Ovis aries: one gene and its partners. The protein of the gene in region 4 interacts with the protein of the main gene of each other region in a biochemical or structural test. Links are inferred from orthologs where the notes say so. Each region holds a gene or a part of one and is shown on either strand. Other genes may lie near its edges.

What was found. The genes of interacting proteins can lie anywhere in the genome.
Region 1: the proteins of NF2 (region 4) and AMOT form a complex in vitro, tested with the Homo sapiens proteins (2 studies listed by BioGRID and IntAct). The link is inferred for Ovis aries from reciprocal best matches to the Homo sapiens genes NF2 and AMOT.
Region 2: the proteins of NF2 (region 4) and CD44 form a complex in vitro, tested with the Homo sapiens proteins (2 studies listed by BioGRID, with this or other methods). The link is inferred for Ovis aries from reciprocal best matches to the Homo sapiens genes NF2 and CD44.
Region 3: the proteins of NF2 (region 4) and NHERF1 form a complex in vitro, tested with the Homo sapiens proteins (2 studies listed by BioGRID). The link is inferred for Ovis aries from reciprocal best matches to the Homo sapiens genes NF2 and NHERF1.
Region 5: the proteins of NF2 (region 4) and SPTBN1 form a complex in vitro, tested with the Homo sapiens proteins (2 studies listed by BioGRID and IntAct). The link is inferred for Ovis aries from reciprocal best matches to the Homo sapiens genes NF2 and SPTBN1.

What each region holds. Positions count from the first base shown.
Region 1 is NC_056080.1:121,856,958-121,861,847, forward strand, and holds part of AMOT (angiomotin), read left to right. Parts: intron 1-1,646; coding exon 1,647-2,136; intron 2,137-4,890.
Region 2 is NC_056068.1:64,544,063-64,548,364, forward strand, and holds the end of CD44 (CD44 antigen), read left to right. Parts: intron 1-2,127; coding exon 2,128-2,332; 3' UTR 2,333-3,132; downstream 3,133-4,302. UniProt on the Homo sapiens protein: Cell-surface receptor that plays a role in cell-cell interactions, cell adhesion and migration, helping them to sense and respond to changes in the tissue microenvironment.
Region 3 is NC_056064.1:55,964,994-55,969,883, forward strand, and holds the end of NHERF1 (Na(+)/H(+) exchange regulatory cofactor NHE-RF1), read right to left. Parts: intron 2,979-4,890; coding exon 2,938-2,978; intron 1,833-2,937; coding exon 1,743-1,832; intron 1,551-1,742; coding exon 1,356-1,550; 3' UTR 673-1,355; downstream 1-672. UniProt on the Homo sapiens protein: Scaffold protein that connects plasma membrane proteins with members of the ezrin/moesin/radixin family and thereby helps to link them to the actin cytoskeleton and to regulate their surface expression. Necessary for recycling of internalized ADRB2.
Region 4 is NC_056070.1:68,770,647-68,775,978, reverse strand, and holds the start of NF2 (merlin), read right to left. Parts: upstream 3,217-5,332; 5' UTR 2,780-3,216; coding exon 2,666-2,779; intron 1-2,665. UniProt on the Homo sapiens protein: Probable regulator of the Hippo/SWH (Sav/Wts/Hpo) signaling pathway, a signaling pathway that plays a pivotal role in tumor suppression by restricting proliferation and promoting apoptosis.
Region 5 is NC_056056.1:69,371,563-69,375,573, reverse strand, and holds the end of SPTBN1 (spectrin beta chain, non-erythrocytic 1), read left to right. Parts: intron 1-720; coding exon 721-763; intron 764-1,525; coding exon 1,526-1,744; 3' UTR 1,745-2,841; downstream 2,842-4,011. UniProt on the Homo sapiens protein: Fodrin, which seems to be involved in secretion, interacts with calmodulin in a calcium-dependent manner and is thus candidate for the calcium-dependent movement of the cytoskeleton at the membrane.

The DNA of each region.
Region 1 (4,890 bases), on a different chromosome or scaffold from region 4:
ATAGGTTTGAGGGCTCTGGTGAACATCTGGGTTATTGGGTATGTGTGAGCAAGTGTTTGGAATGGTTTTGTAGTGGTAAAAATCCGTCATAGTAAGGATCTCTTGTAGTGATAGATAAATAAACAGTAATGATAACTGGAGTTATGTGTGGGAGGGAATGTGCTTTAGCATCAGGAATGCCAGTTAAAAGTTAATTGCTCCTGATGATTTGTCCCAGTTTCGCCACAAATTTTATGCAATGTAGTGCAAAGATTAAGTGGATATCCCATAAGTAAAATCACTAACAGGGTCAACCATTCTCATTGGGAGGTAGATATGTGACTGTTTGTAATTCAACACTGAGAAGAGCCCAATATTTTAGTAATTCTTTTGTGACCTCGGGAGCAAAATAGGCTCATGCAGATGAAGTAACTTGAGCAAGGTTACACAGCTAGTAAGCAGTAGGAAAGGTCTCCAAACTCTGTTGGGATCCAAATCCTGTGCTCTTAGCCATCTGTCTTCCCTGGATTGAGAAATAACAACTGTAGGACAGGCATCCACTGGATGTGGGAGTATATTAGGTTAACTGGGCAGGGGCAGGGAGGTGAACATTTTGTGTGTGTGTTTGGTGTATACTGACATATTCTTCCTGGTTGTGGCAATGGTGGAAATAATCAATTTGCATACACTGTTTCCATTAATGGCTCATAGTCCAGTATTAGGTACCAAAATGGAAAAGTCACATTAAACCATGTGCCAAAGTTCTCTTTCTGGAACTTTCTATAAGTAATAGATTGGGAATCTGAACATCACTACAAATCAGTGCATTTTATTTAATAGTAGTGGAAAGAACCTGAAAATGGCATTTAGCTTCTTCTACCCTGGCACTGCTTCTAACTCATTCTATAATATTTGGCAGAATACTTCTCCTCTCTGGACCTCAGTTTCCCCCTCTGTCCACTGACAGACTTGGACTACATAATTTATTTAAGGCCTTTCCAGTCGTTACATTTTGTGATTCAGTACATCAAAATTGTATGATAGTGTTACTTATAATCCCTTCCAACTCTTGGAATTATTGCTGCTAAAAAACATCATTCAGTTATTAACAACTCTCATCAACAATAATTATTTGGTGTCTCTAATATAGTAAGTACCTGTATATCCTCAGGTAGTTTTTTCTGACTATATGAATTATCAAAGAGAGTTGCAGATAACAAGATGAGGGGTAGATTTGATGACGGTTTGCTCTTTCCTTCTGGGCAAGTGGAACGAACTTTCTGTGACTCTTTCTGTGTGCAGGGCCATATACAGGATGCCAGAAAAAGCTTAGTTTAAAATCATGAGGTGACAATTACGTTGTCAAAGGCGCATTTGAAATGCTTAGACTTGAGAAACAAGTGTATAAGGATGCATTACTTTGATTTTCACAAAGCAACCTTTGAGATCATCTGATCTGTCCTCCATAGGATCACACCTCTGTGGGTCAGGTATTGAGAGGAGGCCAGGTGTGGAAGGGACTGGAGAGGTCTTGGGAGAGACCTTGTAGTCCAACCCTGCCTGCTCCTCATTTTGCACCTGTTCTGGGGGCCCAGAAGCCTCCACATCTCCCTTTCTTGTGCCTTCAAGTGGGAGTTTAACCTGAGTACACCCTCCGTGTTTTCCAGGCCAACACAGGACATCTCATTGCCTTTGTCAGCCCGGAACTCTCAGCCTCACAGCCCTACTTCTTCCCTCACATCTGGGGGTTCCTTGCCCTTGCTGCAGTCTCCACCATCTACTAGATTGTCTCCTGCCCAACACCCCTTGGTCCCCAGCCAAGGAGACCACTCGGCTCACCTGCCTAGGCCACAGCAGCATTTCCTTCCTAACCAGGCTCACCAGGGGGATCATTACCGTCTCCCCCAGCCTGGCCTGAGTCAACAGCAGCCACAGTCACACCATCACCACCATCACCAGCAGCAGCAGCAGCCAGGAGAAGGCTATTCCGCTATGCCACGAGCTCAGCAGTCGTCTGCTTCATATCAGCCAATGCCAGCCGACCCTTTTGCCATTGTTTCCAGAGCCCAGCAGATGGTTGAGATTCTCTCAGATGAGAACCGGAACTTGCGGCAGGAGTTAGAAGGATGCTATGAGAAGGTGGCGAGACTGCAAAAGGTGAGACCTCCGTATGGGGCTATTTGAGTCTTTTTGAAATCTTATTTGTTTAATATTGATATAAAAGTGTCCACTTGTGGGTCCCTGTATGACATATGGGCGGGTCTTCAGGATTCTTATATCTGAAGGTTAGATGGAGCAAACTTTAGAAAAACCTTCTGCCTCTCTAGAAGTAACATTTCACAGAAACCATAGCCCCCAAGAAAGCTTAACTGAGTGTTTGAGAATTACAAAAGGCAGGGAAACTGCTTCAGAAGGTCAAGAACACTGGAGAGGGCTCTTTTGGAGAAGTACCTGCCAGCATAAAGACTTTTCCTTTTGATTGCATTTTTCCAAATACAAAGTACTGAATTTGAATCTTAACTATAAATCCATAGTTCCCAGAAAAATCTCATCATTGAAGTTAGATCCTGACCTGCCTTGTTGTGGAAAGGGCCTAGAGTACTTTTCCAAGTGGTAGTTTTCATTGTAACTTTTTCAATGCCCTTTACTTTCCCCCCTTCTTGTGTTGGTCCTTCCCTTAGCTCAAATGAAACATCTGCTCTCCTCTGGTGTGTGTGGGGAGCAGGAGGGGTTTAGCACACCACAGATGGGTGACATGTGACAGCCCGAGGCTAAGGAAGTAGCAAAAGAAGTGTATGTCCCAAGTTCACATTCTTCCCTGGGCCCCTCCTGAGTCTTTTGCAGCTGGGACTTTAGGTCTTGAGTGCCCTAAGCTAGGAACCTTAGCTCTTAGCTTCCTGTGGCTGGTGGTGAATAGGGTTCTGCCTTTGGCAGCCTCTTTGCAACTTCTGTCATTGTGGAGCTCCTTTGGTTTGATCTCCCAGACAATGCAGACTGCTCAGGGATGTGAGGATGAAGGTGGAGGAGGGAAGGGAGGTTGCCTGGTATTGTTCAGTAACTCTGTCCTCAGGAGACACCCAACAGTGGAAATTTCAGGGGCCTGAATGAAGCTAACACTGTGTAAACACCAGATCTGAGTCCTAAAGGAGAGGAGGGCTTATTATCAGCTAAGTATTTTTACGGAACAAAAAAAATGCCTTTACCGCGCCTAATGTTCCCAAGTCTGGATGGATGGGGGTTGTTGAGTGAGAAATGTTTCTTACTGGCTTTGCCCCCAATTTAAAATTTTCCCTCTTCTCTCATACCTGCCCCTGTCCCATCACATTGGTACTCACACACTATAAGCAGACTGGTCCAGTTCGGCTGATTAGGTTTAACAGTTGACAATGCTCCCTAAACTCTTATTTGTGGTGGCCCTGGCCCCATCTTTGATATAGTAAATAAAGGGTGAACCCAGATCTTCTACAGACTCTCTTTTCTAGAGGATAGTGATTTTTTTTTTTTTAATGAGGGGGAAGATGGGTGGCAGGGAGGTGGAGCAGAAGAGTCTGGGTTGTTTTGTTCTCCAATATTGGGAAAGATGCCTCAACCAAGTGCAACTGGGACAGCTTGAGTGCTGGGAGAAGTGAAAGCTGACCCAACACTGCAGTGGGTTAGAGGCACAGGTGGGTTAGAAGAGGACAAATGAGGGGAATAAGGTAGATGTCAGCTGGTGCTGGGAAAAATAAGAAGGCCTGAGGCTCATGAGGGGAATAAGTAGATAGAATCAACCTGGAAACCCACCACCATCCTCTCTCTCCCCTCACCTCCCACCACAGACCAAACCGATGGATATGCCCTTCTGTGTCTCCTTTTCCTGTTGACAGATGTACAACTTGCCCTTTTAGTGGGGGCAGTATCTACAAATGGTATTGGGAAAGGATTGGTACAATGTCTTGAAATAGTACTCTGAACAACTTGAGTAAAGGGGCTGCCTTCCATGAGGATGCGGAATAAAAGGAACCCTTATACACTGCCAGTAGGAAGGGAAGGTAAATTGATGTAGCCACTATGGAAAACAGTATGGAGGTTTCCCAAAAAACTAAAAATAGAACTATCATATGACTCAGCAGTTCCATTCCTGGATGTGTATCTGAAAAAACAAAACATTCAAGAAGATGCATGCACCCCAGTGTTCATAACAGCATTGTGTACGATAGCCAAGATATGGAAGCAACCTAAGTGTCCATCAACAGATAAATGAATAAAGAAGATGGAATACTGCTCAGGCATAAAGAGAATGAAATTCTGCCATTTGCAACAACATGGATGGACCTGGAGGGTATTATGAAAAGTGAAATAAGTCAGAAAAAAAATACTGAATGATATCACTTATATGAGGAATCAAAAAAATACATCAAACTAGTGAATATAACAAAAAAGAAGCAGACTCAGAGATACAGAGAACAAACTAGTGATAACCAGTGGGGAGAGGGAAAGAGGGAGGAGCAACATAGGGGGAGGGGAGTAAGAGGCACAAACTATTAGGTATAAAATAAGCTATAAGGATATATTACACATCGCCAGCTTCCCTGGTAGCTCAGCTTGTAAATAATCCACCTGCAATGCAGGAGACCTCATTCAATTCCTGGGTTGGGAAGATCACTGGAGAAGGGTTAGGCTACCCGCTCTAGTATTCTTGGGCTTCCCTGATGGCTCAGATGGTTAATAATCCACCTGCAGTGTGGGAGATCTGGGTTCGATCCCTGGGTTGGGAAGATTCCCTGGAGGAGGAAACGGCTACCCACTCCAGTATTCTGGCCTGGAGAATTCCATGGACTGTATAGTCCAGGGGGTCACAAAGAATCAGACTGGACTGAGCAACTTTCACTTCATGAGGAATATAGCCCATATTTTATATAAGTGGAGTAT
Region 2 (4,302 bases), on a different chromosome or scaffold from region 4:
CCTCCCTTTGGCCTTTTACGACATTTTCATCGTAAACATAACAAGAGGAGTGGAGGTAGCAGAAGAATCAGCAAACATTTCACATGGCTCTGTTTATACTAACAAGTACAGCAAGTGCCTCTAGAACATTCACTGTGTTTCGGGTGCCGTTCTAAGTGCTTATCCAAGGCCTCGATTTCCTTACTATTCCTTGTTCAGAAAAGCAACAGATAAAATGGTGGTAAACTCATGTATCCAGTGCCAGCCTCTGGTTCAAGGGATTTCCACAGTCTTGTGACATTGGCACTCTTAACAGCCTGGTGTTACAGATAAGAAAGCTCAGATAAGTTAAGTGAGTTGCCTGAGGTCACACAGTGGTAAGGCCCTCAAGCCAGGCCTTCCAAGCCCCTGCTCTTGTCTATGTGGATCCATATGCTCAGCCCTACAGATCAGCAGAGGTCAAGTGTCCTTCCTCCCGCCCTCATCAAGAGTCACGCCAGAGGATACAGGATCAACCTCATATTCAGGAGGTATAATTTTTACTTCCCCAAACAAGTGGTTAAAGTTTATGGCCCTGGCAGTTCCAGAGGGAATGGCCCATGATCATGAATAATAGAAGCTTTGTCTCTACAACTCCAAATATCCAGCGGCAAAGTGAACAATTCCGACTTCATACTTGTTCCAGATCTCCAGATGGTTAGCAGCATGAATAAAGCAAGGGCAGTAGAGCTGAGACTTTGGGTCATAAAAGCCTACATTTGAATGTTGCCTCTGTCCCTCTTACTGGCTGTGTGACCTCAAGCCAGTTACTAAACCTCCCTGAGCCTCAGTTTCCATTGCTGTATAATGGGAATAACAGCTGCTTTGTGAGATTATTGTAAAGATTACGTGAAATTACATGTAAAGTGCCTGACATTCAGGAAGTGTCCAATAAACGCACATTTCCCCTCACTCCTGCTCTACTTGTAGTTGTGAGGGTTTGCACCTTTGCTTTTGTTTAAGCAGCATCTGACTTCTTGATGTGTGGCAGTGATCGTGTTCCAGGAAAGAGGAAGCATTGCTTCAGGCTGGGGCGGGGATAAGGCAATGCCCTGACCCAGCAACAAGATCAAGGTCATGCTCATCTATAGCAGACCTTCTGCATTTGAGTAATGTTATTAAGAAATCTTAAATAGTGAACGACTTCCCTTATATAGTTAAACTTCCCGTATCTAAGGTTACATGGCAATGAACCAAGCATAAGGGAAAAATCAGTGTGGCCTTATATCTTCCCTGGTGGCTCAGATGGTAAAGAATCTGGCTGCAATGCAGGGTTCAGTCCCTGGGTTGGGAAGATCCCTTGGAGAAGGGAATGGCAACCCATTCCGGCATTCTTGCCTGGAGAATTCCATGGACAGAGGAGCCTGCTGGGCTAGAGTCCATGGAGTCGTAAAGAGTCAGACACGACTGAGCAACTAACACTATACTTCTAGCAAAGCGGTGCCTCATTCTTCTTCGTATTTGCAATAATAACCCTGACAACGCCAACAAAGTGTTGACTGGGAGAGGAAGTAAAGGGACTTTCTTGAATACACAAATCAGAATGATTTACAGTCATCCCGTTGATGGTTTATCTAAGCCTGCAGAAACAGCCAGAGTTTAACAGAGGCAAACATTTCCCTTACATGATTTGATGGAAGGAGAGTTAGAACTTGGGAGTCAGACACACCAGGGTTTGAATCCCAGTTCTCTTAGTACTTGTTCAATAACCTGGGGCAAGTGATGGAATTTTCCGAGCCCAAGATTTCTTTAGCTGTAATGGGGGATACAGTGAGCACTGGCTTCCCATAGCTGTGACCACTGATTCTCAGACTCACTTCAGGTAGCCCGTGAGGGTTTGCTAAGTCCCAGACTCTGGTCCCCGTTCCTCGAGTTTTCTGATTCGGGATGTCTGAGGTAGGCCTGAGAATTTGCATTTCTAACAAGTTTACAAGTGATGCTTTGGCTACTGGGTCAAGGACTTTGCTGTGAAAAGTGCTGATTGTTAAAAGTCAGTAGGATGAAATATACTCAGATTATCATAAACCATAGTGATGGTGGTATTAACTGTGACGATGATGACAAAACCATTGTACCCATTTCTCTTATAATTTTTTTTTCAATTCTTAGGTGTGGGCAGAAGAAAAAACTGGTGATCAACAATGGGAATGGAACCATGGAGGAGAGAAAGCCTAGCGGACTCAACGGAGAAGCTAGCAAGTCTCAGGAGATGGTGCATTTGGTGAACAAGGGGTCGTCAGAGACCCCAGACCAGTTTGTGACGGCAGATGAGACACGGAACCTGCAGAATGTGGATATGAAGATTGGGGTGTAACACCTACTCTGTGACCTTGGAAATAAACCACCATTGGAGACACAACCATTACAGGGAGCTGGGACACTTCACAGATGCAGTGTGCTACTGATTGTTTCATTGGGGATCTTTTTTTTTAGCATAAAATTTTCTATTCCTTTTTTGGGAGTTTTTTGTGTTTTATTTTTAAAAGTCAGATCCAGTTGATAAAAACCTCATTGCTTTCTGAAATGAGGGCCCAGTTAATAATCAGCAAGAATTGGACTGTTCTAGTCTATGGGGTCGCACAGAGTCGGACACGACTGAAGCGACTTAGCAGCAGCAGCAGCAGTCCCCACCGAGAAGTGTCTCACCTCCCTGAGGTGTGTGATGGGCAGCTTCTAACAAAAGCCATGCGTCCATCTTCCTGACCCTCAACCTTCCCCTTCACCCCACCCACCAGGGAACAGCCACCTGCTAAGGACATCCCCAGGGCTAGGAGGGATTGGCCCCTGGAAGGAAATTTGAATGGGTCCATGTTGCCCTTCCAGCAGCCCAATCCCTGGGCATTTCTTTCTAGTGGGGTTAGGGGTGGGGGTGTACTGGTTACACATCCCCTTCTACAGACTCCCTGGAAAATTTTCAGATGCTTCTGGGAAATACCCAAACGGTGAAGCTATTTATCTAGAGTAAGCTATTTATCTGTGTTTTTGAAAAATGAAACCCTGGAGGTCCTTTGATCAGTGATTTTTTTTTTTTTTTTTTTTGGTTGCCTACCTGGTCAGAGGCATAAAAGGGTTTCTGCTGATTCATAATAAACACCTGTACTTCTTCCACCTTAACCCTTTGTGCTGTGGTCTTTCAGTTTCCTAATCAGCAAAGCCTGGGTCCCAACAGCTCATCAGGAAGAGGCGAGGAGGTCCTCCTTGCAAGTCTTCATCTCAGAGCCATGAAGCCCCCACTCAGGCTCGCTCACCCGAATCTCATAGAGGACCAGGGGAGACAGTATTGTTTTACTTCTGAGGTTCCAAAGGTATTCTATCCTGTCCTACAACCAAAACTGTGAGAGGAGGAGCTTCAGCTGCTTTTATGTACTAATGGCCGCCTATTCTTTCCCCTGAAAGGCGGTGAAAAGTCATGTTACATGTGCATGACCTACCATTTGTGATGTTCCATGGTGTTGTCCAAAAACAACACGGAAGTGCCTTCTAACCTTTTGTAATAAAAGGAGAAGCCAGTAGAAATGAAGGCGCACAGACAGTGGCCAACAGACGGGCACAAGCAGGGAAAGGGGAGCAGGGAGCAGCGCAGATCCTGTCGGAGGATTTTTATGGCCGTGTTTGTACATGGTTTTTCAAGCCAGTGGTCTCCATCCAAAGCAGTTGCTATTCAGGGTTAACTTAAGTGGCTGGAGAATCCCTCACAAGGTTACAGGGCTTCCCACCTTGGATTCACCACCAGATCAGCAGTTATATGGCCAAATAAGAGAATAATGGCTTTATCTCCTGCTGGGCAAGTCTTTAGCAGTCTTTGTATAGAAGTTCAGGAGACTGTTGGTCCTAAAACTTCCAAAGGCTGCTGGTTATAGAAGAAATGGAATCTATGAAAATAAGGGGTTCCATAAACTGGGACCTCCTTCCTTAGGCCCCCAGAAAAAATAATTTTCCTACACTGATTACAACTGACAATGTTTCCCAGCCCAAATATGAAGAAGGAGGAGGAGAAGGGAAAAAAACTGTCCCATGTGAATCAGGGCTGGGCTTACACCCAGAATGGATTCTGAAGAGTATATCAGTATTTAAAGGAGAGTTGCCAGCTTTCTGCTCATTCAGAAACTCGACTCTTCCCCATCCACGCTCACAATCCCCTCCCCATCCTGGTCTTTGAAAGTTTCCTTTCTCTTCTGGGGATATCCTCAGTCAGCTCCATAGTTAGCTGTCTGGCGTTCTTTTTATTTTCAAGCCACACTGTTGTTACTGCTGCTGTTGTCCAAGTACCCCCACTAGCCAGAG
Region 3 (4,890 bases), on a different chromosome or scaffold from region 4:
GGGGTGGAGGACAGCCCATGAACTGGGCCCTGCAGGCCATGCTGGCAGCTGTCCAGGATGCCCTTGGGTCAGCAGCATAGAGACCCGGACCTCCCGTGGAGGAGCAGGGCCTTTCAGCCTTGGAAGGTCCCTTCCACCCCACCTGCCACAAGCATGTCCCAGGGCCCAGCAGGCCAGGTCTGTCCTCCCCATCCCCAGTCAGGTCCACAGCCAAGTAAGATGAGAGTATCTGGGGGGGTTAGGGACACCAGCTTGGGCCATGCCTGGGCATCTGCACCTCCCTGGCTGTGGGCAGAAAGATTAAAGCCAAGCCTTCCGTCTCCAAGTCTGGCTCCATTGTGGATTCACTCTTTGAACGCTCCTGGGATCCAAGGTGGGTCTTAGAGCCCTCCCTCTGCGCACGTGGGCCCTAAGCTCCCCATTTCCCTGCTGGTCATCCCTGTAGGGCAGCCCTAGTGAGCCAAGCACACAGGGGCCCCGGCGGGTCCTCCCACAGGACCCACGCATGGCCTAGCCACCCAGCGGCTACAGGCTCAAGGCCCTCTGGTTAAAGCCACCCCACTTCTGGCTCCGGGCTTGGGGTCCTAGGGAGCCCTAGACCATCCTCTCAGCCCGAGGCCACTCTGGGGACACGCATGGACAGAGCTGCAAAGGAACACACAGAGGCCAAGGTGGTTTGGAGAAACTAGTTGAATTTCGGGTAAGAATTTCCTTACAATTGTGTCTGGCTCAGGGCTGGGCAGGGGGTGGCCAAACCCTCCCCATGTTGCCTAGGTCTCTGGGGGGGTGGGGGGTGGGGCAGAAAAAAGTTGAAGGAAGGGTAAGGCCACTGCTACGTCCCGGATGCAACAACCTGGGAAATCATGTTAATCAAGAATTGAAAGTCCTTCTAAACTCTGTAGTACTGCACTTAAAAATCAAAAATAAGATGCCCAAGTCACAGCTCTGAGGATGGTGGCCCCAGTCCACTCCAGGATGTTGCTGTGGTCAGAATCCTTCCCTGGTAGATCCCAGACCTGGTCATCACTTGGGGTCAGGAGGGAAGGTGACCTCTCGCCCAGTCTTAGGATCTTTGCTCGATGGAGGTCCCAGTGACGTCCCAGGACAGTGGCAGGGGGACTGCAGGTGGGCTGAAGCACCCAGCGAGGAGGGGCACAGAGTCTGCTTTTTAACTGGGGCAGGACAGAAAAACAGTCACCTTGTCGGAGGTAAGGGAAGAGTATGGTTCTCTAGAAAGATCAGATTTGCCGAGAGAGGAGATGCTGGTGCTGATTTGTGTGCTGATCTGGGGGTAAGTGGGGGAGAGGGAGTTGGCTGGGTGTGGGACTGGGCTTTGCTGGTGCAGGGGGTGTGGCTCAGAGGTTGCTGAAGAGTTCGTTTTTCTTGCTCCAGTCCATCTGCGGGGCCCGTTTGCTGATGCGCTTCTGGTGGGCCCTCTCTTTGGCCACAGCCAGGGAGATGTTGAAGTCCAGGATGGGGTCAGAGGACGAGGAGGAGGTAGACGAGGGTGCTGTGGAGTCCTGTTTCTTGGGGCTGTCTTGGGAATTCAGCTGCAAAGAGGAGCAAGAGAGCGGGCCTCAGTGCCTCGGCGAAGTGCTCCCTTGAGGCCATGTGTGGGGAAGCCAGGTCACGAGAACAGAACGTGACTCAGCGTGTGACCTCCACGGCGGGCTGGTGTGCCAGGAGTGAGCGACGCCTGACTTGCTGTCACCCGGGGCCACCCCCCACCCACCCAGCCTTACCTCCTCGCTGGTGTCACTGGAGGCGGTTCTTGCCAGGGGTGGCACGGGGCTCTCGGAGGCCGTCTCGGCCAGGGCTTCAGGACTGTTCTCCTGGTACGGAGAGGAGGCATGTGGGTGGGCAGGCCTGAGCTACGAAGGGCATTCCCGGGGAAGACGGGGCCTCGGTCTGAGCCTTGCCATCCACCCCAGAGCCTGCCTGAGCCTGCCAGGGCCCCGCGGGGATTTACATTTTCACATTCTTCCAAGGATCAGAGGGCAGCCAGGTTCCACCATCCAGGGCAGTGGGACCATCCCTCATGGGACTAGCTGGGTGGCTCACACCGCCCCTGTCCTCCCAGGCAGCCTCTGGAGTTGACTCCTCCTTGGCACAGTGACCACAGAGGGGCCTCCTGGGGCGTGGGGGTGCCGGGAGACTGCTCGGTGTGGGGAACACCCGTGATGCCCCCTGAGTCTCCTACAGCCCACCTGACTTGTTTTCTTGGACTTGACCCCGGATTCTTGAAATCAACCCTCAAGCAGCCAAGAAGGGCTTCGAGGGAATAAGGTGGGGGAGAGTGAGAGACCCACAGGGAAAGTGACTGAAGGCTCAGGTGGTTCAGGGCCTTCTTGCTGCACAACCCCCCGACCCCGGCAGGAGACCCCAGGGAAAGGAAGCCTTAGAGCAGACCCCGAGGAGCCCTCTCACCCCATAGTCTGACCCTGAGGGCGCTGTCCCAGAGCCCAGGCCTTGGGCTGCAACTGGGCACTCCGCTTCTGCCTGGGTTCCTGTGGCCCCAGCTGGCACTGGGCTGCACCATCTCTCCCCCGGCCCCCACTGCCTCCTCTTCCCTTCGGCCTGGGTAGGAGGGGCTTTGTTCTCCCAACCCAGACTGGAAGTAGCAGGGCCTGGGCAGGCGGCGGGCAGACACTGCCGCTCTGTTCTTGGGGGGAAGAATGGCCTCCTGTGTGGTGGGGAGCTGGAGGCGGGGCCCATCACCCAGGATGGTGGCTGCGGAGGGCCTGGCCAGGCGGCCCCGTCCCCTCTGCCTCGGCCCCAAGCGGGGGCCCTTACACGGCCTGGGGCTCAGGAGACAGCTGCCAGGAGACACGAGGTTTCCACCTGAACCAGACCCTGTCCTCCTCCTAACCACGCCTCCTCCCCCACCTCCCGCAGCCCCAGGACTGAGCCCGAGAAGCATCAGGGCTCTGCCTTTACCTTCTCGATCTCCCCGTTGGTAATGGGCTCAGGCAAGGGACCTAGATGGGAAGAGGAGAGCGCAGGTGAGTCAGAAGCTGTGGACGGAGGGGGGCGCGGAAGGCGGGGGTCGTGGGTTTGGGTAGACCACTCGACCTTGTTCCCCAAGCTCAGTGTTTAAGTCTCTTGACTGCCCCCCACTATAGTACACCGGACATTCTGGCAACCCAGCAGCCTCAGACTAGCATTTAACAAAACAACTTGCCTTTACTACATCGCAAGGCTCTTTGATATTTCCTATTCAGATTGATTAAAAAGATGGGGGAGGGACGGCTGGGGAGCTGGAGATGGACATGTGCGCACTGCATATGTAAAGTGGAGAACTGACAGGAACTTCCTGCACAGCACAGGGCACTCTGCTCAGTGTTACGCGGCAGCCTGGACCGGAGGGGAGTTTGGGAGAGAATGGATACATGTATATGTATGGCTGAGCCCCTAAGCTGTTCACCTGAAACTGTTATAACATTGTTAATCGCCTACACTCCAATACAAAATAAAAAGTTGAAAAAAAAAAAAAAAGGAAGAAAGGTGCCTACTTAATTAATCCCAAGAACCACTGATGAGTAAGGAGCTGTTTGAAAAAAGCGCTGTTGTAGACAGGGTTGAAATTCCAGGCAGCTGCCTCCCAACCACCCGGGATGCTGGTTAGAAATACAGATCCCTGGGCTTTGACACCAAGGTGTTTATCTACGTGGGTCTGGGACAGGCCTAGGAATCAGTATTTTTCGAATGCTTCCTAGGTGATGGTTGTGTCAACAGAACTGGGACCACGCCCTGGTTATGATTATCACCTGCACCAGCTGCGAAAGAACCCCAACTCCTCCTGGCCAGTGTGGGGATGGAGGGGGCCCCAGGGCTCAGGGCAGAGTCCTGGGCGTGCCGTCCCCCAGCCAAGGGGGAACCTGGTGGCGACAGGTGGGGTCAGAGGGCAGGGACACGGCCTGGGGTCACCCTCCCAGGCCTTGCTCAGGGTAGACACCCCACCTGGCCGCAAAGGGGGCTATTCCCTCTCAGGTCAGCCTGGGTGGGTTTCTTCTGAACTCATAGCTTAAGGTCAGGGTACGTCTTTCTCCTTGCCCTGGACTGGGCAGGCACACCTCTCGTCCAGCCCTCCCACAGTGGCTGGGCAGGGGACACAGGGACCCTGACTCACCCTCCACTGCACCCGCTCACCTGTGAGCCGTGGGCTGCCCAGCTTTGGGCAGGAGGCAGTGGCTGGGGACGCGCAGACTTACATGCACTTGGGAGGGGGAACACCCTCTGATCAGAGGCTGCAGTCATGGAGGTTCCCAGGGCCCTTCCTCCCCAGCCAGGAAGAGAGAGGGTTGATGACTTGGGAGTCGGGGGAGAAGGGTGCTGGGGGAGTCAGGGGAAGGTAGAGGAGCAGCCAAGTGGAGTCCAGATTTCAGCTGTCTTCCCACACTGGGTCCTCCCTGGTGGCTCAGGGGTAGGAAATCTGCCTGCCAATGCAGGAGACCTGGGTTCCATCTCTGGGTCAGGAAGATCCCCTGGAGAAGGGCATGGTGACCCATGCCCTTGAACTCCACAGACAGACAAGCCTCGTGGGCTACAGACCACAGTCAGGTGGGACTGAGCGACTAGCACTTTCCCTTTCCCACACCACACTGCCAAGAGCAAGGCTGGGGGCTTCTCGGGGCCACAGCTTTCCCCCTAGTGAGGATGGGGATTATCAGACTTACCTGCTTTCCATGAACTTGGGAGACAAGGGCACAGTGGTACCCACCTCCCATGACTGGAGTCTGCTAGTGGCTTCCAGGATACCCCCAGGACCCACTGGGCCCCACCAAGCTGGCGATCTGAATTTGTGGCAAGACCTCTGTGTGGACCCCTGTGCTCCACATCTGACCCTCAAGGAAGCCCCACCCACTGCACAGTCCAAAGAGGTTCCACCTA
Region 4 (5,332 bases):
AACGAAGATCGTGGCATCTGGTCCCATCACTTCATGGGAAATAGATGGGGAAACAGTGTCAGACTTTATTTTTTGGGGCTCCAAAATCACTGCAGATGGTGACTGCAGCCATGAAATTAAAAGACGCTTACTCCTTGGAAGGAAAGTTATGACCAACCTAGATAGCATATTGAAAGGCAGAGACAGTACTTTGCCAACAAAGGTCCCTCTAGGCAAGGCTATGGTTTTTCCAGTGGTCATGTATGGATGTGAGAGTTGGACTGTGAAGAAAGCTGAGCACTGAAGAATTGATGCTTTTGAACTGTGGTGTTGGAGAAGACTCTTGAGAGTCCCTTGACTGCAAGGAAATCCAACCAGTCCAATCTAAAGGAGATCAGTCCTGGGTGTTCATTGGAAGGACTGATGGTGAAGCTGAAACTCCAATACTTTGGCCACCTCGTGCGAAGAGTTGACTCATTGGAAAAGACCCTGATGCTGGGAGGGATTGAGTGCAGGAGGAGAAGGGGACAACAGAGGATGAGATGGCTGGATGGCATCACCGACTCAATGGACATGAGTTTGGGTAAACTCCGAGAGTTGATGATGGACAGGGAGGCCTGGTGTGCTGCGATTCACGGGGTCACAAAGAATCGGACACGACTGAGCGACTGAACTGAACTGAACTGAAAGTCACCCGAGATGACAATGGTCTTAGTAGGACACTCTTCCTCCCTTTCCCTGATCACACCCAGCTGTTGAAAGTGAAAGTGTTGGTGGCTTAGTCATGTCCCACTCTTTATGACCCCTAGGACCGCCAGGGTCCTCTGTCCATGGGATTCTCCAGGCAAGAATACTGGACTGGGTAGCCATTCCCTTCTCTAGGATATCTTCCCAATGCCGGGATCAAATCCAGGTCTCCCTCACTGCAAGCAGATTCTTTACTATCTGAGTCACCAGGGAAACACCCAACTGTTACACTCCACTATTGTGATATATTGCTCTATTATTTCCAACAATACCCTAGAGCATAACTTGTTCTACAAAGTAATCCAATCAAAAGGTGGCTCTTCTGAAAGAACCATTTCTGAGATCAGTGTCTGACATTTTTTTCTGACCAGGAGGGCTCTTCCCAGCTGTCTTACTCTCCTGCAAACTAGCTGCCTACAGTAGTATCTTCATTAAATCCACAGATCTCCTTCCAGTTGCCTTTCACCAAAACCTTCACAGTTCTGGAGAGCACCCTTAGGCATAAATTTCTCCAGTCTCTACTGCAAATAGGACTTCCCTGATGGCTCAGAGGGTAAATAAAGAATCTGTCTGCAATGCAGGAGACCCAGGTTCGATCCCTAGGTCGGGAGGATCCCGTGGAGAAGGAAATGGCAACCCACTCCAATACTATTGCCTGGAAAGTCCCATGGACGGAGGAGCCTGGTAGACTACAGTCCATGGAGCCGCAGACTGAGCAACTTCACTTTCACTACAGCAAATGAAGCAAATGCTTTTGGGAAGAGATTAGAAGCTAAGGGTTTTTAAGCCTACTTCTCCCTCCAGGCAAAATCTCTTAGAAGTTGTGGGGGGGGGGGGTGCCAGTTTGAAGTCCTCTCAGTTTGTCTCTCTTGGTTGGTACCACCCATCTCACAAACTGAGGGTGGGGACAGAACCACTGGGAATCCAGTATTCTTGGTGAGCAACGCCCAGAGTACAAAGGACTGAGCCTCAGTATCAAGCAGCCTTGGACAGGAGAAGCCCTAAAGTAATGCTCCTTCTGGGAAGAAAGCTGTCGGACTGGGAGCTAGGGAGGGGAGAGAGCCCAGTATCCTGGGTTGCAGCCGTCCAGAGCTGAGAGCAGGAGGGTGGCAGTGGTCTTGGTTCAAATATTAATACCGCAAACTCCTGAGATTTTCCCTGTGGTCCAATGGTTAAGACTCTGCTCTTTCACTGCAGGGGGCGTGGATTCCCGGTTGGGGAACTAAGATAAGGCATGCCTTGCGGCCAAAACAAAAACAAATACCACAAACTCTTGCCTTTCTTACCGCATTTTCATAGATTTTCTTGAGTAGATGTTTTTTCACTTGATGCTTGCTTGCCCTTAGGACAATTTCCAGAGGGGTTAAACTGAGTTGTTTGGAGTGAATGAATGTCAGACACTTAAGTATTCAATAAATGATACCTGTTACAGGACAGAAACTATATGCAAAGTTTAAGATACCATCACTTTCCTCAAAGACTTTTCTCTAGAAAAGTTAGGCTGTGAAAAAGGGAAACAATATAGACTTTCCCAACGAGATGCAACTTTTAACACCTATGATTATATCATCTTATAAAGCTGAAACTCTAAAGAGCCAGAGCTAAAGCGTGACACTGAGAGCTAGAATTCGCTACCACTGATGCTTTCAGACTTCTGCAGTAACAATGAATGAAAACCTTCAGGAAGTGCTTCCAAACCCAAAAGCCCCATTGAAAAAAAAGCAGTCATTATCTTTAACGTGAGGATTTGGGCCTAGATGGCCCCTTCCGGATCTGGCCGACTCTATCTTTGCCCAGAGATGATATAAACAGAATCCCGAAGCTTCCACCTTGACTGTCACCGCGGCAAGGGCGCCCGGGTCGGTGCCGGACCCAAACCAGGGCCAGATCCCAAAGGGCTGCCCTTCGCCGCAGCCCGTCGGGGCTGCAGGCCAGTTACCTCGCAATTGAACTCCATCTCCGCGTCCATGGTGACGATCCGCACGGTGAATGTCTTAGGCTGCTTCCTCTTGAGCGAGCTGAAGCTCATTCGGGAAGCGATGGCCCCGGCCATGGCGCGGGGCTCAGGCGCAGGACCCTCGCGCCCCGAGGCCTGCGCTCGGGACCTTTTAGCCTCCCTGGAGGAGGCGCACAGGCCTCAGGGCCACCATGGTGGCCGGCCGGCCGGCCGGAGAGCTGTCTGAGCGGCGCGGGCCCCCAGCGGCCGGCATGGGCCGCGAGGACCCTGCCCAGGAACGGAAAGGGGAGTCCCGGGGGCGGACCCTGACGGCCCTGGGCAAGGATCGCGATCGGGGACCGACGGGGAGGGCACGGCCCCGCTCTCCGGGACTCGGGCCGGGGACGCTGGGAACGCCCGCGGACGGGGCCCTTAGACGGCGGCTGCCCAGAGCCCGCGCGCCTCTCAGCGGCCGACGGAGGTCTCAGGGCCGCGCTGCAGCCGGGCGCGCACGTGCGCGCGTGGCTGTCACCGTCCTCGCTCCGCGCGCCCGCGGGAAGCGTCCCCTCCCCGCAGCCCCCGGCCTGCTCCCCGCCCCGCCCTCGGGCCCCCAAGAATCACTACACACGACGCAACCAAACCCGGCTGCTGCCGCCCGGATGCCGCGGTTGGCTGAGCGCTCCGAAGGAGACGGGACTTTCCCGCTGTGTCCCACCCTCTTCGGCATCACTTCACCAATCGGAAGTTCAGATCTGACTGGAGGCGCGGGCCTGGGCTCGCCGTTGAGTGGCTACGGTGACAGTCACTCCGAACGCTTTTGTTTTCTAAGAGGTACGCCTACTCTAGCAAGACTGGTTGAGGTGCCTGAGCCCCGCCGACCCTTTCCCAGGGAAACACGTAGAGGCTGGTACCCGGGCGCGGGAGACGCGTCACCCCCTGTTCCCGTGAGGGACTGCACTTCGGACCAAGTCGGCGCCAGGTGTGGCGCCCCATGGGGATCGTGTTTTGGACACCGGGTGGATAAGCCTGTTGAGCACTTAAAATTAGTTACGTGTGCTGACCTCTGTGTTTCTCAAACTCTCAAATCACTTGTGGAGGCCGTTTAGGTAGGCAGCACTTACCGCCCTCCACCCCCCACCCCCCACCCCCCACCCCCCGGAATCCTTCTGCTTCTTTTTAGGGAGAAATTCTAATTATTACCGAGGGTTATCAGTCTCTAAGTCGTTGTTCAGTCGCTAAGTCCTGTCGGAGTCTTTGAGACCCCATGGAGGTAGGTGGATAATAATTGTACCTACCCCACGGGATTGTTGAGGCGTATAAAGCTTTAGAACGTGGCTGGTCATTTTAGGTCGAATCCTATGAAATTGCTCTTTTTTGTAGATACTTCCCCCCCCTCCCCCAATGAAAGTATTCTGGGGGAATTCCCTGGCTGTCTAGTGGTTAGGATTATGGGCTTTCACTGTGGGAGTTCAGTACCTGGTCAGGGAACTAATATCCTGCAGGCTGCTGGGGCGTAGCCAAACAAAAGGAAAGAAGAAAGCATTTTTCATTTTTTACTCTGTGATTTCCAGTTTTGGATCATAAACATATGTTTTACTGTCATCAAGGATTATATGGATGTGTGTGTGAGAGAGAGAGATGGGGGAATACAGTTTCGTTTATTTAAAAAAATGTTCAATTTTAAATGAGACTTAATGGTTGAATACCTGAATGGCTGAACGAAACACATTCCACAAATGTTAGCCGTTAGCATCACCCCCCCTACAGGTGAAGAAACAGAAAGTCAGCCTGACAGAGTTACTTGCTGGCTATTATATACACATTCAGTTCAGTTCCGTTCAGTTCAGTTCAGTCGCTCAGTCGTGTCCGACTCTCTGCGACCCCATGAATCGCAGCACGCCAGGCCTCCCTGTCCTTCACCAACTCCCGGAGTTCACTCAGACTCCCGTCCATCGAGTCAGTGATGCCATCCAGCCATCTCATCCTCTGTCGTCCCCTTCTCCTCCTGCCCCCAATCCCTCCCAGCATCAGAGTCTTTTCCAATGAGTCAACTCTTCACATGAGGTGGCCAAAGTATTGGAGTTTCAGCTTTAGCATCATTCCTTCCAAAGAAGTCCCAGGGCTGATCTCCTTCTGAATGGACTGGTTGGATCTCCTTGCAGTCCAACGGACTCTCAAGAGTCTTTTCCAACACCACAGTTCAAACACATCAATTCTTCGGCTCTCATCCTTCTTCACAGTCCAACTCTCACATCCATACATGACCACTGGAAAAACCATAGCCTTGACTAGACGGACCTTAGTTGGCAAAGTAATGTCTCTGCTTTTGAATATACTATCTAGGTTGGTCATAACTTTTCTTCTAAGGAGCAAGCGTCTTTTAATTTCATGGCTGCAATCACCATCTGCAGTGATTTTGGAGCCCCCAAAAATAAAGTCTGACACTGTTTCCACTGTTTCCCCATCTATTTTCCATGAAGTGATGGGACCGGATGCCATGATCTTCGTTTTTTGAATGTTGAGCTTTAGACCAACTTTTTCACTCTCCACTTTCGCTTTCATCAAGAGGCAAAGCTGGGACTCAAACTCAACCCTGTCCCACCAAAGGCTGCTGGTCTTTTACTCTGCTCTCCTCCCCTGGTTGGTGTTGTTCAGGCACTAAGTCGTGTC
Region 5 (4,011 bases), on a different chromosome or scaffold from region 4:
GTTTCTTCGGTTCTGAGATGTATGTAAGAAGAGAAATCTAGGAGACCTTTTCTGTGACTTTCTGTCAGTTCAGAAAGTCTGGTATTTGTTACTGTGGGGCATGTAAACTCAGTGGCAAGATTTCAAAAGGGCTTATGATTTTCAAAGAGCTTTCTCTTGCGTTCAGTTTAGAGCAGTGATCAGTCCATCCAGGTGGTCTTTGCCACAACAAATCCAGGTATAAATACATTTGGAACATTTTTGATCCTTCCAGTGAATGAAACGAGCTTCCCAGGTGGCATTAGTGGTAAAGAACCCACCTTAAAAAAAAAAAAAGAGCCCGCCTGCCAGGAGACCTAAGAGACGTGGGTTCGATCCCTGGGTCAGGAAGAAACGGCAACTCACTCCACTATTCTTGCTTGGAGAATCCCATGAATAGAGGAGCAGCCTGGAGGGCTACAGTCCATGGGGTCACAAAGAGTCACACACGGCTGAAGCAACTTAGCACACATGCAGTGATTGAAACACACAAGTCGCTTGTGTATATTGGCCCAATTATATGGCCTTTTGATGTCCGGGGGTGGCTGCCGATCCCATGCAGGCCCGAACACATTGAGTGATGTGTGCAGGGTTCCGACGGGCATTTCTAGTGTGACTCCTATGTCCCACAGAGGATGTGAGAGTTAAGGGTTTTTTTCCCTTAAGTGATATTGTGACTGACTTTCTTCTTTCAAATTACAGACTAAATGACGGCAATGAGTACCTCTTCCAAGCCAAAGATGATGTAAGTTTTGAAGATTCTTTTTTTTTTTTTTTTTTTCAAATACAAGTTTACAAGTGTTTGTGGCCTGATGAGCATTATATATGGTGCTCTTCACATAAGTGATGATCAGCGGTGGCATCTGTCCTCTGGTCTCCACAGTCACAGACGCTGGAAGGTTTTCTGTTCTCCTGTGTCTGTCAGGGGCAGTAAATGTCATCTCATTGTTCTCCTACCCTGGCAGGAAAGCTAGCGCAGGGTCTCTTGAAGTTTGTGGAAGAGAACTGTGGGTGACGCACAGGGAGGTGGTCTCCAAACTGGGGTGGAGCCCACAGCCCAGCTAGGAGCCTCCCCTCTGTGCCCACTGCACTGTACCTCTTGTAACCAACCATCGCTTGGCTGTATGGTCAGCCGATGAGAAAACATGCGTAGCGCGTTAAATTCAAACAAAGCAACTTCTGTTAAGTTTACACAGTGTGGTATATCAAATAGATTTCTATTTCAAAAAAGAAAAAGCACTTTGTAGGGTAGGACCTGACCCCCGTGCTATAGGCCAGTCTTCCAGCTCGTCACATTTGTAGGACCATATACTACAGTGGAGACCTTCAGGTACTGTCAACTGAATTCAGGCGTTTGTTAGAGAGCCACTGTCCCTTCTCAGGCAGACATGCTATTCCTAAGTTTTCCAACCCACAGCAGCTCAGACGGTCACCCAGGCGGAGTGAGAGTATCTCATGTCCATCCAACTTAGATGAGTCTCACCTGTGTTCCCCCTCCTTTTTCCAGGAGGAAATGAACACATGGATCCAGGCCATCTCCTCTGCCATCTCCTCTGATAAACACGAGGTGTCCGCCAGCACCCAGAGCACGCCAGCATCCAGCCGGGCTCAGACCCTGCCCACCAGCGTCGTCACCATCACCAGCGAGTCCAGTCCCGGCAAACGGGAGAAGGACAAAGAGAAAGACAAAGAAAAGAGGTTCAGCCTTTTTGGCAAAAAGAAGTGAACTCCTTTCTGTCACTTCCTGCCCTTCTCTTCTTACCTTTTCAGTGAAATTCCAGCATGCAAGCTCAGAACCAACACATTACTCTCTGTGCCTAAATGTTTCTCCATGTGGTTGATTTTTTTTCTTTTAATTTATAGAGCATTTCTCGGGGAGGGTGGGGAAAAATACAACCTAAACACTTTATCTCCAAGTTAACAAAAGTTTGAGGTGCAGAGGGAAGACCAGATTTTTTTTTTTTTTAACGAAATTATATAGATTAGATCTCAGTATTTAAACTGTTCCTCAATTTTGTGAGGCTGTGTTGGAAATAACCCGCCTCCAGTGCTGTTGGTATGCAAGGCAGCGGTGCTTAAACAATATTTCCTGTGCTCGCCACAGACCGTACCAATGTCCCAACACCATTCTCTCCCATTTACTCCCAGTGGTTTGACTATTAGAAGCGCCCATGATGGGTCTAACCTGGATTAAACAGATTGTGTGTGATGATCTCGCTGCAGCCACAGTGCAGCCCCACTGTTAACTCTACAGACCAAGCCACTTGTACCTGGCATCACTTACTAACACACGACATGCAGCTTTTCTGCATCAACCTGGACAGCAGTTAAGAATGTCGGGATACAAGAAGGAATAGAAAACTGATACTGTTTTAAATAATCTGTAATTTCAACTTTTTTTTTGCTGAAATACATTATATTGTATGTTTGAGATAATTCTAGTACAAAGTATAATAAAACTAGATGTATAATAAACCCTTTAAATCATTGGTAAGTGTACAAGTGGAACCGAGGCATTTACTGGACAAAGTCATGTTACCGTAATGGTTACTTGCTTGTGCGTTACCACACTGTGTTATAATTTGCTTCATTACCTTGCTCTTTGATACATAGTGTGCATTTCTCTGTCACTGTAACAATTATAATGACAAATTTTCATCTTACTGCACAATCAAAATGGCATTGATAGGAATGAACTCCAGAGGCTGGGCCTGACAAGGAGGTTGGTCACTCAGGCCCGGTGCTCAGTCGTATGACCTGTACCTCTCAACTTTTGCCCTATCTGTTAAATATATGCGATGTCATTAAATGCTTTTAAATCTAGCACGGTGGGTGACTGTTGTTTTTCCTCTCCTTGCGTGCACGCCATGTAGGGGATTTGCACAGTGCAAAATAGCAGACGGGAAACAGGAGACTGTCCATCTGGGTACCTGTTGCACATTCTTGTGTATGTCTGGTGTCCCAGCTTTGAAAAATCACAAGAAACAGAGCAATAAATATGGAATGTTTTGTAGCCATACATCCAGATTTTATCTTTTAATTATGAAAATGTTATCAGAAAGCTCACCAAACCTGAGCTCTGAGACTAGGGTTCAAAAACATTTTCAGTAAATAGAAGTAAGTAGGTATTTTAGGCTTTGTAGGCCATACTCTGTTGAAACTCCGCCACTGTGTATTACAGAGGCAGCCGTCAATGATACGTGAACCCATGGGCATGGCTGTGTTCCAGTAAAACCATGTGTGTGGACACAGAGTTTAATTTTATATCATTTTCATATGCCACACAATATTCTTTTCTGATTTTTTTTTTTAAATTTTAAATGTAAAATTTATTTTACACAGATTGTGCAAAACCATATCACAGGCCATGTGTGGCCCATAGACCAGTTCGCTGATGCCAGCAGTAGGGGTCATGGCTTAGATATGTGTGTCATACTTGTCCTAGTTGATTGATTCTGTACTGCTTGCATATTTTCTAATGTGCAGTAGCAATGAAGGTTAGTATTACAGACTTTCAGTAGTTTATTCCCCAGAGGATATGCTTAACCTGACCTCACAGCTGACTGACATCAGGGGTGTTACCCTTAGGTGGACTGAGATCTCACTGTTTACTACCCACTCCCTTCCCCCACCCCGTCAATCCCCATGCCCCTGTGTACCCAGGGTTGTTTATCTCATCACAACGCTCCTTTACCCTTGCCTTACTCAGGATTGGAATCAAGTTGTTCATTTCTTAACAGGTAGACCTCTGACCAAAACGTTTAGTTTAGAAAAGGCATCTTGGAAAATAATCGTGATTGACTACGGCCTACCTAACAAAGCCAGGCAGGTGGCAGGCGGGCCACCCTCGGAAGGAAACTAAGCAGCAATCCCAGATTCCCATGAAAAGTAGATTCGGCTGGAACATTTCACACATAATTCTAGAGGCTTGCAGACCCCCAATGCCTGGTTTTGGAGGTTCTTGATTGCCTCCCTCCCAATGCTGAGGATGCC